2 separate regions of the Mus musculus genome follow, and region 1 is reported to be linked to region 2. Evidence: microRNA targets listed by miRTarBase, many of them from high-throughput screens and not tested one by one. Region 2 holds a microRNA gene; the other region holds the end of a gene's coding sequence.

Region 1 (7,121 bases), not on the chromosome of region 2:
ATCCACCCTGATGCTGGCTTCCATGACTGCACCCCATTCCTGCTGGTCAGTGAGTACAGAGATGCCCCAGTGTACGCTGAAAGTAGTGTCCAACTTTCCCAGGCAGGCTTCTTCCTCCTCCCTAGGTGGCAGCCATGCAGGCAGGTCTGCTGAAGGTGGTACCACAGGCTGTGCTGGACTTGCTGACCTGGCAAGAGTTGGAAAAGAAGGTGTGTGGGGACCCAGAGGTCACTGTGGATGCTCTGCGCAAGCTCAGTGAGTTCTAGGCGATAGGGCAGTGAAGCCGAAGGGGCGGGGCTTAAGGACTAGCCCAGTGAGAGCTAAGCATGAACTCCTGCCTTGGCCCCTCCAGCTCGGTTTGAGGACTTCGAACCATCTGACACACGCGTGCAGTACTTTTGGGAGGCTCTGAACAATTTCACCAATGGTCAGTAGAGGGCAGAGTGCTGCTTGCCTTGCCTTGGGACGTGGCTTGTGGATTGAAGAGGCGGGCGGGAATTTATAGAGCTTCCTTCATCAGTGCAAGCCTTAATTTTCTTCTCCACCCAGAGGACCGGAGCCGTTTCCTGCGCTTTGTCACCGGCCGCAGCCGCCTCCCTGCTCGGATCTACATTTACCCAGACAAACTGGGGTGAGTATGAGTACAGAGAGGGGCAGAAGGTGCCCCCCACACACACATGCACGCATACGCGTCACTCCACAACTCATAATCCTTTGCCCTTCCCACCTTGCAGCTATGAGACCACAGACGCCCTGCCTGAGTCTTCTACCTGCTCCAGCACGCTCTTCCTCCCACACTATGCCAGGTGAGTCTCCCGAGGTGGGAGGGTGGTTGGCAGGGAAGGGCACCCTGGGAGCAGCAGAGATGCTGGACAGACCACCTTCCTCCCTCTGTAGTGCCAAGGTATGCGAGGAGAAGCTCCGCTACGCCGCGTACAACTGTGTGGCCATCGACACGGACATGAGTCCCTGGGAGGAGTGAGGCCGTGCCCTAAGCGTGTACGCTGCCCTCACCCACACCAGCCCGGTTTGGGTCTCAACAGAGGTGATGGGTTCAGAAATGTCAGCACAGTGGGCCCTGTACCTGAGTATGGTCTGGTCGCAGTGGGAGGCGTGAATTGACACAGACGCTCCAGTCCCCACAGACCCACGAACCCTACTGTGCTGGGGCTTGCTTCCCTAGGTATTTAGCCTTGGTGAGAGGGAATCGTCCACAAGCCCAGCACACGCTGCCAGGCCTGAGCTACTTGAAGGGGGCAATCTAGCTCCCCAAACAATGGACTATGTTTTGGTTTCCCCCATTCCTCTTTTTTTCTAGCTTCAGCCATGGCTCAAAATGTTTAAAAACTGGTAGAATGGTACTTTGAGCAAGGGGCCAATGACAGAGTAAGGTCATCCTCCTTGGTCACGGGTCCCTAAGAAAGAAGCCCCAGTTGAGACCCATCCCTTGCATACTAGCCTTCTTCTTTCCATAGCAGAGGTGTGTGAGCTTTGTTCTTCCAGAGGCTTGGCATGGACATCCGCTCAATACCCAGGCTTTACCAGCAGCCAAACTACTGTCTTCTGGATCATATCCAGCCCAACTCCATTGCTCCTTCACCCCCAAGAGTTCACAGCTGAGGGACCTTCTGTCCTCTCTGAAATTTCAGTGGTTGCTGTTTCCACACTCTAAAATAAGGCCTAGACGTTAAACTTCCTCTAAGGGTGGTGCACACCCTTCCATTACCCTCAAGAGCCTCCATGGCACTCCTGTAGGACGTCTTACATTGGGGAAATTGAATAAATGGAGAAATTCATTTTTTTAGAATGTGCTTTTGGGATCCCTGCTAAACTCATGGCACTCCTAGAAAATCGCTGTGTCCTAGAAGGAGCTCCGGGGCTGCCACCCTACTGATAGCAGGGGATGTGCGCCTGATGGGAGAGGTGGGCTTCACAGTGACACAGTGGGGCATCTGTAGCACAGCCTGGGAATGAGAGCTCAGACCAGAGGACAGAAGGCTGGGCTTTTGAGATGATTGTGGGATTCAGAGTCTGGAAGCTCACCTCCAGCAGCAAGTGAGCAGAATGACGGCACATGGAGGGTGAAGCTGGGGTAGCTGATGAGCACCCGGATCCTGATACACTTGGGAGCACCTGTCTGCCCCCAAATGCCACATATCTAAGGTCCAGAGACTCTAGCCCTGTCTTACCCCAAGTACTTCCACCCTGAAGCTCAATGCACTAGACGCCATCTTGGTGTCCTGGTACAGTGTAAACAGTCAGTTACCCATCAAAGCAGACTGAGCCCTAAAAATCTTTCCTAATGTGTCGTCTTCAGCTCACGGTGCCATTGAGAAAGCCTCTTCACATGGCTGTGTGCACGCCCAGACCTATCTTTCCCACACACTGAGCCTCCTGGGGCAGCCCCATCCGCCCATGTGCTTTGGGGGACCCACAGGAGACAAACATGAACACCCTCCCTCCCAGGGAGCCCCAGCACCTGCACACACACCCACCAAACTCTGCTTCTCAGAAAGCTCCCCTGGCTCTGTTGGGGAAGGAGTGCTTCCATAGTGTCTGGGAAGGGCCTTCCCTGCAGAAGCTGTGGGGTGCAGTTTGTCTCTATGCCCCCACACATGCCCTTAATAACTCTTTTACACCATATTTTTCAGGCTGCTTTGCATTTACTTATTCATTTAGAGATGAAGTGTGGAGTACAGATGTCAGGCACCAGCTGCAAAGCACCAAGGCTAAGTCGGTGTTTGCTCCAGAGCACACACTCCCCACAGAAGCTTGCTACATCTTTCTCATTAAGTAGCAGTGTAGAGCAAGTGTCTTCTTGGTGATGAATTATACTTCTAAGGGGATCCACTGAAATATTTTATTCTCTATTAAAATTTTATTTTTAAAATCACGTATATATATGGATGTCTATGGGGTGGGAGTGTGCGTGACTGTAGGCACTCAAGGAGACTGGAAAAAGGCATTGGATCCCATGGAGCTGAAATTACAGGCATTTGTGAGCCACTTGATGTAGGTACTAGGAACTAAACCCAGGTTCTCTGGAAGAGCTATAACTGCTCTTAACTGCTGAGCCAGTTTGCTCTTTAATAAGCCCGGAAACATTTTATTCTTTACATGACCCATCAAATGACTCATCTCTGAGACACTTACAGTCCTCACTTTGGTTTTGTTTTGAGACATGGTCTTGCTTGTAATCTTAGCTGTCCTGGCCTAAAACTCCTTATGTAGCCCAGGCTGGCCACAAACTTGCAGCAGTACTATATCTGCCACCAAAATGCTAAGGAACCCTTTCATGTGAAGGGTTTTCTGCCACTGCTTGCTCAGGGGCAACCTGTGGATGGCACTTGCTTTCCTCAGTAATGGAGGTAAGATCAGTCTCCGTTGCTATGACTACAGATGTGTGGTCGGTGACATGCAGTCAGCACTCCTGTGATCAGCTGTTTTCTCAAACCTGAGTGTGCTCAACTTCATTTCTCATGTTTTTCTCTGCTGCCCTTTCCTTGCCTTGGCCAGTTTGTCCTCTCCCTTACCTTGTGTGTACTACACACTACCACTGAGCCACACCCCCCAAATGCCCTCTCTTTTAATTATCTCATTCCTCGTTGGTTTATTCCTAGGAGACAAAGAAGCTTATCATAGAAGACAGGGTTTCTCTGTGTAACCCTGGCTGTCTTGGAACTCATTCTGTAGACTAGGCTGGCCTCGAACTCTGAGATCCTCCTGCCTTTGCCTCCTGAGTGCTGGGATTAAAGGCGTGCGCCACCACTAGAGGGGTTCAGACTCTAGAACAAAACAGCTGAGGTGCATATTTTACATCCAAAGCAGACCAGGCCTCCAGGTTCTCCCAGCATCCCTCAGTGCCTAACTGGCACACCCTACTCCTAACCCTGAACTTTCCAGCTCCGGGGCTGGGCTGCCCTTCCCCCAGAGTCTCTTCTATATATAATCCAGACATTTTGATTTCTTCTCTCTTCTCCCTTTCTCCTTTCTCTCTCTGCCCCCTCCCCTCTGTCTCCCTCCCCAAGATGACTTCCCTGGCCTGCTTCCTTGGGGCCAGTGAATTTGCCCACCCAAGTGCAGCTTCCCAATAAACCTGCCTTTATATTAATCTGTTTGAACTGGCTCATTTTCACTGGTGGAGAAATAACTTATCAACCACCATCCAACATTTAAACTTCTTTATAATTTAGGCTGCTAGGCCTGCTAGAATGTCAGCTCTACAGAGGCTGGGTCCAAGCCTTGTTCAGATAGATCCCAAGAGCCTAAAGCTGTCCAAGGGAAGGAGACTGAAGTGGGAGTCATTCCAAGCAGGCATCAGCTATAGGCACTGAGTAAATACTTGATGAATGAGTAAAATATGACCTCAAAATCATATTTTCCAATCTTAAAAAAGGGGAAAAATCAACTGTCTGAAACGTGGTTTGGGATAAAAGTGCGAAATCACCAAATTAATCAAATTACTTCTTTAAAATCTGGCCCAGCCGGGCGTGGTGGCGCACACCTTTGATCCCAGCACTTGGGAGGCAGAGGCAGGCGGATTTCTGAGTTTGAGGCCAGCCTGGTGTACAGAGTGAGTTCCAGGACAGCCAGGGCTACACAGAGAAACCCTGTCTCGAGAAAAAAAAAAAAAATCTGGCCCATCAGCTTAGAATACCAATGTCTCCACTGTCCTTCAAAGCCAATGGTGGGAATTCTTTGTGTTTGAAGGAGTCCTAGTTACTGGAGTTCCTGCCAAGCGTTTTATAGTAAATGAAGCAGCAGCTGCCGCTCTCTCTGACTTACCAGTCCCCACTTGGGCAGTCACCAGGCTGATGTGCAACAGCTAAGTTGGAAGTGCTGTAGTTCCTGCAGTAAGTGGCCAAAGCAGTTTCTTTTCTCATTTCTTTCTTTCACTCAGTGCTCTTAAAATAACAATTCCTCACCACACTGACAAGCCCACGGCCAAATGGAATATTATGAGGTGGCCAGCAAATTCCCAAAGAGAGTTCTCTAGCAGACTGTGGGAAGAATATCTGTGAGCCCAGACCCAACTTTTGAAAGGTTTCTTTTGTGTCTCACATTGCAGAGGATTGCCTTCTGAGCCTACCCCATCCCACACATATGCAGTATGTGTGTGAGTACACGACAAACACAAACACGTGGGGGTAACCTACCCCACATGTATCCTATCGACTGGCTATGAAGGAGTGTCCCTGCATTCTCAATTGGTCATTGCTGTGCAGACAACACCAGGTTTTTGTTGTTTCCTCACCTGCCCCAAAAGAAGATTCTCAGAGAGAATCATGTTAAAAAGTAAGCTGCCTGCTGGGGGGCTCACAGTAGCCCTCAGACCAGCCTAAGGGCGGGCAGCGGAAGAGATGGTCAAGTGTCGTCCTGCTGCTGATTGGTTCACAGTGACTAAGCTGTGATACCTCTCCCACCATACTAATAGGGCTTTTTGTATGCTGGCTGCTGATGCTGGGGAGGGGGATTTAGCAGAACTGGAGCAGGGCAGGGAGGTGGAGCAGAGAGAGCCACAGCCACATGGAGAGAGGGACAGTGGCAGGGAGGTGGGCTTGAGTCTAGATAGGTAGCTGAGCCTCCTTGTCTTTATTATTAAACCCCAAGCGGGACCCACAGGAGCCCTCAACTCTCTGAAGACAGGATTTCTTTGTGTAACATCCCTGGCTGTCCTGGAACTTGCTCTGTTGACCAGGTTGGTCTTGAACTCACAGAGATCCATCTGTCTCTGCCTCCTGAGTGCTGGGATTAAAGAAGTGCACCACCACACCTGGCAGAACAACTCATTTCTTTTTTTTTCTTTCTTTCTTTTTTTTTCTTTTCTTTTTTGAGACAGGGTTTCTCTGTATAGTCCTGGCTGTCCTGGAACTCACTTTGTAGACCAGGCTGGCCTGGAACTCAGAAATCCGCCTGCCTCTGCCTCCTGAGGGCTGGGATTAAAGGCATGCACCACCACGCCCCGGCGAACACCTCATTTCTAATTTGCATTTACAAAGTGCCTCCTGTATGCATGCTATATACTAATATGCATGAAGCTACACACAGGGGAATAACATGAACTAACTTAGAAGGCAACTTGAAAAGAAGAGGTAACGGTGGCCTGGGCTTTTGGTCTAGTTTTTCTATCACCAAATAGGATGTTGAAGGAAAATTCCAACTAATTAAATATACTTTACTTAGCACATCTTGGGTCCTGGGAAGAATGGAACAAATAAAATATAGCCCTTATCCAGTGTGATAAAGGGACATGAAGAGGCCTGGAGAGATGGCTCAGCAGTTAAGAGCACCAGCTGCTTTTCCAGAGGACTTGCGTTCAATTCCCAGCACCCACAGGATGGCTTACAATCATTTGTAATTCCAGTTCCAGGAGACCCAGTGCTCTCTTCTGGCCTCTATGGATACCAGGCATACATGTAGGCAAAACACGCATACACATATAACTGAAAGTTTTTATTGATGTGGGTATTTTGTTTGAGATGGTTTTTCCATGTAGCTCTGGCTGTCCTGGAAACGCTCATGTATTACATCCTGACCACAGTTTCCCCTCCCTCTTCTCCTCCCACTCCCTCCCCTCCCACCTCCTTTTCCCCCTAGATCCTCCTCCTTTTTCCTTCAAAAAAAACAAAACAACAACAACAAGCCAGTGTCCCAGGGATATCAATGGGGCACAGCATAACAAGTTACAAGACTAGGCACAAACCCTCATTTCAAGGCTAGACAAGGCAACCCAGTAGGAGGAAAAGGCTCTAAGAGTCAGAGAAGCCCCACTCCCACTGTTAGGAGTTAGTCCCACAGAACACCAAGCTGCACAGCCATGACACAGATGCAGAGGACCCAGCTCAGAGCCATGCAGGGTCCATGATGGCCACTTCAGTCTTTGGAGCCCCTATGAGCCATACTTAGTTCTGTGGGCCGTGTTCTTGTGATGTCCTTGAGCCCTCTGGCTCCTATGATTCTTCCTGTCCCTCTTCCATGGGATTCCCCCAAATTAAAAAAAATTAAATATTTTAAATGTTACTTTCATTACATCTTGTCCCCAAGTACATGCCTTTTAAATATTCCATGTGGTGAAATTGGATGTATGTGTATGACTTCTGTGCATACAAAAGAAACAGAAC
Region 2 (7,121 bases):
ACTGAGGACTGTGGATAAGGGGTGGGAGTGGAGGGAGCTTGGAAGAAAGCCCTCTAGTGCCAGTCAGGCTGGTGTGAATCTGCAGGGAGCTTTGTCCTGAAGAATCTGAAGGTTTGTATTTTTTCCACAGTCTATCATTTCTCTGCATGACTATCAAGGTATTTTCGTAGGAACCACACTACAGCACTGTCCTTCCTTTATTACTAGTCTCTAGGCAGTAGAGTCTCTAGGCTTGCATACACATTGGATCAATCACACCCCTCTCCCTTTCATTTTTCAAGACAGGGTCTCACTATATAGCTCTCTGCTTTCCCTGGAACTCTTTGTAGACCAGCCTGGCCTGGAACTCACTGAGATACAGTTTTCTATTTTTGGTTTTGTTTTTCTAGACAGGGTTTCTCTGTGAAAGAGCTTTGGCTGTCCTGGAACACAGCTCTGTAGACTAGACTGGCCTCAAACTCGGAGATCCTCCTGCTTCTGTTGCCTGAGTGCTGGGATTAAAGGCATGTGCCACTGTACCTGGCCTCCCTTCTTTATATAAGCATTTTAAGTTCAAGGAGAGAAGAAATCCTGGGTAAACATCATCCTTATGGCCCTATTAAGAAATACTGTTTCACACACCTTTAATCCCAGCACTCAGAAGGTAGAGGCAGGGGCAGGTGTAGAGGCAGGGCCAGTGTATTTCTGAGTTAAAGTCCAACCTGGTTTGCAGAACAAAAGATAATGTTTGGTGTTTTAGATCTTATAGACTACTCATATGCATGTTCTGCATTATAGCTTTTTTATTGGTTATAATAATAACAACGTATTATTAGCCCTCTGTCATAGTTTCATTTTCTAAGTTTAAGCATGATACACAGCTTTCCAGCTTACAGCCAGGCTTGAGTGTTAAAGAATACTGCTAAAGACAAAGTATTTTAGGTCCAGGTACCACACAGAACTCCATCCATCCTGTATTGAACATGTAGATGGACCTAGGAAACAGACTCTACTGATTTAGAAATGATAAACTAGACAATTCTATTTCCATAGAGGAAACCTTGTATTGTAACACTTCTTTATGATGAAAAGGTCATATAGTCTAAAGGGAAAGAATTACTGTAGAGATATGGAAAATGATCACTCACTCCTCTGGAGTTTACACACTTCTAAGAATTTCCGGCTCTCGGTGCTTGAAGACATAAAGCATACTTAGTTTTTAAAGCCATTAAAGTCTGTGTTAGAACATGTTTTTAGAGTTTTAATGACTGTCTTCTCCTGCTTCCCTTAAAAGGAATAAACCCTAACCCAAAGTTGAGAAAGAAAACAAGTTGTTTGTTGTGTCTCAAGACTCACCTTCTCTTACCCCTCAGTGTGGGATAATAACCTTGCCTTGACACTCAAAAGCTACACCTCTTTATTAATAGTTAGGATAACAGGGCTGGAGAGATGGCTCAGTGGGTAAGCATGTAAGGCTCTTGAAGAGGATTCAGAAGCAGTCGCCAGCACCTTCATGGAAGCTCAGAACTGCTTGTGGCTCCAGGACCTAGGTTATCTAACACCTTCTACCTCCACAGCCTCCTGAACTTACATGGTGCACTTGTATGCACTCTGGCACGTTCCCATGGGGGAAAAAGCCCCAGATAAACTGCTTGGAATAGAAGATAATTTTAGAGGTCTAGTTTAAGTCATAAAGCATAATAATGAGACCCCCTTTAAAAATACAAGTGACTCAATATGGTTACACAATTTGCATAGTTCTCTTTTTATTTATAATTTGAATCTACTGATTTCCAAATGCAAGGGCTCTGTACTGTCTTAGTGGTTAGCTGTAAGCTAAAGCAAGCACATGTTGGTATCTTTTAACTTAATTAGCACATCAGTTGACCACTTTGAATGTGTGACTGAGACAACTATTGGGCTTGCTTTCCTAGCTCTAAACCTCAAACTCAGATTCTAGAAATATGTATGCTGTTCTACATGTATGACCACTAATAGTTTTAGGGTAAAGCTTTTCTTTCAAACCAATAGGGCCATTGTTAGGATTACATTCTGAAAATGTTTTATTAATTTTTTTCCAGATGTGCATTTGATGAAAATTACTCTTCACCAACTTTATTTTTCAATGTTTACAGCACATCTGCTAAGTAAATTGTGAAGACAATGATTACCACATGGGTACTTCCTACCCAGTGAATTCAGAATCCTACATCACATCACACCTTTAACCAGTACGTCTTAGACAGGTTTCAAAACTTGCTTTTTTAGGGTACTTTTTTTCTTTGATCAAATATTTTCTGGAGAAAGGTAGTTTATCTTTTAGAAAGTTCCAAGAAAGACCACTTTCTCCTTAACCAGCATTTCATTTACAGAACTATTCTGAGGCTCCCAGGGATATCCTAAGACAAAGTCTGAACCATTGAATACTAACTTCCTCTCTGTCAAGGGGGTAACATGCAACCTGCAGTATCCAGAGGGAATGGTGAAAATAGGCACTGTGGTGGTGTATACCTATAATTCTTGGAAGTTAGAAAGCTGAGGTAGGAGGATGGCTGGGGCTTTGATGCCAGAACTGGGTTACAGTGATGTAGTGTCTCAAAATAAAACGACCAATCACCCAACCACCCACCCAACAAATCAACCAACAACCAACCAACCAACCAACATCTAACCAACCAACCAACAACCCAACCAATCAATCAACCATCTAGCCAACCAACCAACCAACCAACCACCCACCCACCCAACCAGTCAATCAACCAAAAACACCCCAAGCAAACAAAACTGTAACAACTATAAAACCTGTATAATTTAAAATGAAGCCATTATTTTTTCACTCTGATAAATTATCACCAGGTGCTTAACAAGCAAAAATTGGGATAATGATTCAAAGGATTGCCCAGGCAATAGCATCTTCTGAAATCTTGCATCAAGTGCTAGGAAATCCTGTAAAGGAAGAGAAGTATCGACTAGAGGAAGAGAGAAAGACTTCTTCCTTTGAGGAACTAGTCCATGTTGCAAACAGGAGGGTAAAAAAGGGACACACACAAGTATACAGGGAATCTGAGATTTTATTAGAGATCCTTTAAGCTTAGGAGGAACAGTTTATACAGCATAAGCAAGCCTACAATTCTAACGCTTTAAAATAGTTGCCAAGGTAATGCGATACAGCAAAGTGATTAATAAGGTACCACGTTAAAAAGGAGATACCTGCTCATATCCATAGCAATATCCTTTATAATAACCAAGAGAGGGAAGCAGTCAATGCCCGCCAGTCGATGAATGATCCACAAGATCTAGCAAATGTGCAGATTATTCAGCCCTAAAAAAGGAAATTCTGTCACATGCTAAATGAGATGAACTTGCGGTCATAACAGGAGACAGAATGGTGCCTGCCAGGGGCTGTGGGAAAGGAGAGGGAGGAAGGAGAACTCTTATCTTAATCATAGAAGATTTTAAGACCTGCACAATTGAAAGTTCTGCAAACGCTTCATTAAAGGCACAGGCATTTCCTGAATTGAACATAAAAATGGTGGCAATGGTGAAAATTTTGATGCTTTATCGCAATTAAACAAAAAAGCACCCTCCGGCCCAGATTTTATAACCATAAGTCTTCAGTTAGGGTAGGGAATTGAGAGTTCAAAGTTCTAGTATATAAAGATTAGTAACCATCCCAAGGCCCTTTGGAGGTGGAGGGTCTCAGAGCTAGACCTCATAGCCAGTGCTTTACCACTGAGTATACTTTAAAACCTTACTCAAGAGCCAAACCTTGCCAAGAATGGTGGCGCATGTCTGTAATCTCAGCTCTCTAGAGGTGGAGGCAGGAGGATTGTCAGAAGCTCAAGATCAGCAAGTTCCAGGCCGGTCATTGTTAGTTACATAATGCCTCGAAACCAAAAACAAAAACCACCACCACCAACAAAAATACAGAGCCAGGTCTGTGGTACACACTTACAGTAACAGAACCTGGGAGGTAAAAGCAGGAAGGTCAGAAGTTCAAGGCCAACCTTAGCTATACAGCAAGTTCAAAGCCAACCTAGGGTATGAGGTCCTGACTCAAAAAAACAAACCTAATTAAACAGTCCATAATTTCTATTTTTGGTCTCTATTTATGATGTAAATGAGTATAATGCCCCCAAAATACTCACAAAACATATTACACATCAACCTGGTGTGTGCACATGGATTCTAGGCAATGCTGATCTCTTAGGTAAGTGTGTTCATGAGGCACACACTCCAAGGAAGAAAACACTGAGAAGCACAAAACTCAATCTGTGGCATAAAAAAAATTCCCATAAACTTGGGGTAGAAATGGGATGAATATGGTGTAGAATAGTTGAGTTTTTCGGGTGAGCCTCAATAGGCGCCAGGCCCATTTGGAACTGTGACTGGGTGACGTAAATTTTGGTAGTGTGATAAAGATTGGTAGGAATGCATGATTTTGAGTTCCTTATGTATGGAGAGTTTATTAGTCTGCACAAAACATCAAAAGCATAAATTGTCAATGCTTACCATAATTTTTCAGTTTGGGTCTTCATGCATTTTCAGAATTCTTGTCTTCCAAATCAAAACAAATAAACACACAGTTGACTCTAGTAATGCCAGCTAGATTATGAGGTCATAACATATATTTATTAGATCAGGAAGAAAACTGAAGTTCTTAAAATTTTCTTCTGCACAATACTGCTGCAAAATCCACGGGCTTAACCATCTACTACCTCACCATACTCATGGTCCTGAGCCACAGAAACCTTAAAAGGAGCTCTGCTGCGCAGCAGACCCAGTGACAGGGAAAACATACTAATTTCTGAAACAAGAACTTAGAGCCACTCAGCATTAGAGTGGGAAGACGAAGACAGATGCTTGCCGTTCCGAAAGTGCCAATAAAGCATACAGCTGACAGAGACTGGTTAGACATCACTGGAAGTAGTTAAGAAAAGACAATTTGTCCAGTTTGGAAGAAGGCTGTTTTGAGAACGGTTTTGTGGCTACATTGCTGCTTTTTAAAATAGACATTTAAATCAGTTTTATCTGACGATAAAAATCACAAGACCAGTTCTCCTCACTGGGAATTAATAACAACCACATAGAATTTCTACCATAGGAAACTACTGGGGTATCAGCCTCGGGAGACTTTGTTATTACCAAATATTGTTATTTTGACTCCAGACAGATTAACCAGCCAGGGCTTGCTAAACAATAGGTACATATATAAGAACTGAATCTTGGTGAGTACAGGATGTGTAGTCAGCCTCAGTTATCTTCGGTCTTCATCCTCTGGGTGTTCCAGGAATGATGCACGGGTTTAGGTTGGTTCTAGGATAGGCCCAGGGGCCTGGTTTGATCTGGGATCCCTGGGACCATACCTAGAACAAACCCAAACAAAACCAGACTCCTTGGGAGTGCTTTCAGCTTGCATGGGCTTCTGGGCTTCTCACCCATGTGGGCCTCCAGGGCTGGATCAGGGCCACACACCAACCTTTAAGGGATAGGAGTGACATTCTTGGAGCCTTCTATATATTGTCACACACCAGTACTGTGCCTCAGCACTTTTAAGTCACAGACTTGAACAGAAGGTACAGAAAAATGCAGAACATACTTGGACTCAGAATCAGAGTCAATTTAGTCATTTAACTTGGAAGGAAAAGCGGGCTAAGAAGTTGTTTAGGTCATTGTAAAAGAGCAAACTTACAAAGGACATACTTTAGTTTTAGAAGAGATTTGCAACAATAAACTTATTTGTATGTAGTCAGTCTTTAGGACATGTTATAAAACTGTTATAAATCCTAAAATAATACTATCTATTTTAAGAAACTCTTAAGAAATAAGTGAGAAAAAATATCTATTTAGCATTATCTACAGGTAGTCCAATTTTTCAGCTTGTATAATCAGAAGTATACACACCCTAAGCATCATTTCCACTTGAGCAACATATGTGCTAAGTGAATCTCAGTACACAGGGATAAAACTAATGTCACTGCTGACACACTAAAGTGGATTCTAATGGACTGCATTTTAAAGACACCATGGGCATTAGAATCTATCACACAATCATCACTATATATATAAACCTTGGCCAGTCAGGAACTCACTATGTGGACCAGGCTGGCCTTGAAATCAGAGATATGCCTGCCTGTTTCCAGAGTGCAGGGATTAAAGGTATGTGCCACTACACCTAGATTTGATCACACATTTAAAGATAGGTATGAAATTAATTCCTCCTAATTCCTGCTGAATCTTGCCTATGTAAACCCCGGTATGAACTCCTTCTTTTTGGTTTACAGCAATTGCACTGGGTAGAATTGTGCTTCTCTAACAGCTTACTCAGAGAGAAGCACCAATCATGTCTGCCATCACTGTCTCTTCTACAATGGTGTCAATACAAGGAACTGGTTTGGACCATTCTTCTTACAATTATTATATCATAATTCCCTTCCATAACATGGGTAACTGGAGAGCAGCCACATGAAGCATGATTATGAAAGTCTGATACAGCATCCACGCTGAATGTAATGAGAGTGAGTTCCATGAAGCATGAGAATAAAATAGACTGACACACTACTCACTCTGTATATGATGACAGCGAGTCCCATGGTTAGCAAAGCACAGCACATAAACGGTACAACTAAGCAGATGTTAGGAGAGCCACTTCTAGACAGTCTAGTATTATTGGAAAATGTAATCTTGCTTATTTTATACACTGAAGGCTAATTTAGGCATGCCAACTACTGAATGACAGTGGATCTTCTGCCACTGAGTTAACACTGATGAATCATGGGAAACTTTTAATGTATACTTCACTTCCTTTAGCTGAATTAAAGAAAGCAAAGATGCTGTCAGCGTGGATGGTCTTTCATAATCATGTTATTCTTTGTGGCCTAGGTTCTACAATTGTAGTACTTCTCAGATATCTTCAATAATTGTTTTCTTATTTTCCATGGCTTAATCTACTTTGTCTTGGAAATGAAGACGCATTTATCTTAAATAAGAGAGCCAAAGAAATTCAGGACAGCATGTGGTTTCCAATTCAAATGGAAAGTATATATGACAGTAATCACTGCAAAAGAGTTACAGGTATAGAACCAACTTTAGAGAAGGCAAGATGTTGGGGAAAATTATCTTGTATAACAATACTTTCATAT

What was found. Region 2 holds the annotated microRNA mmu-miR-331-3p (GCCCCUGGGCCUAUCCUAGAA, at 5,294-5,314, opposite strand). A microRNA usually pairs through its seed, bases 2 to 8, with sites in the 3' UTR of a target mRNA and lowers its output. Matches are read on the target gene's strand: a 7mer-m8 pairs with bases 2 to 8, a 7mer-A1 pairs with bases 2 to 7 and ends in A, and an 8mer does both.
Region 1: the mRNA of Hectd3 is a reported target of mmu-miR-331-3p. Seed matches in the 3' UTR shown: 7mer-A1 at 1,898-1,904.

What each region holds. Positions count from the first base shown.
Region 1 is chr4:117,002,385-117,009,505 of GRCm38, forward strand. Hectd3 (HECT domain E3 ubiquitin protein ligase 3) reads left to right here. Exons shown (of 21, transcript NM_175244.4): 17 at 126-255; 18 at 353-427; 19 at 550-631; 20 at 735-806; 21 at 898-2,893. The coding sequence ends at 982. Among named protein-coding and RNA genes, the nearest start is that of Hectd3, 11 kb to the left of the region's middle.
Region 2 is chr10:93,958,490-93,965,610 of GRCm38, forward strand. Mir331 (microRNA 331) reads right to left here and starts at 5,374; the gene lies at 5,279-5,374. Vezt (vezatin, adherens junctions transmembrane protein) reads right to left here. Exons shown (of 12, transcript NM_172538.5): 12 at 3,033-7,121.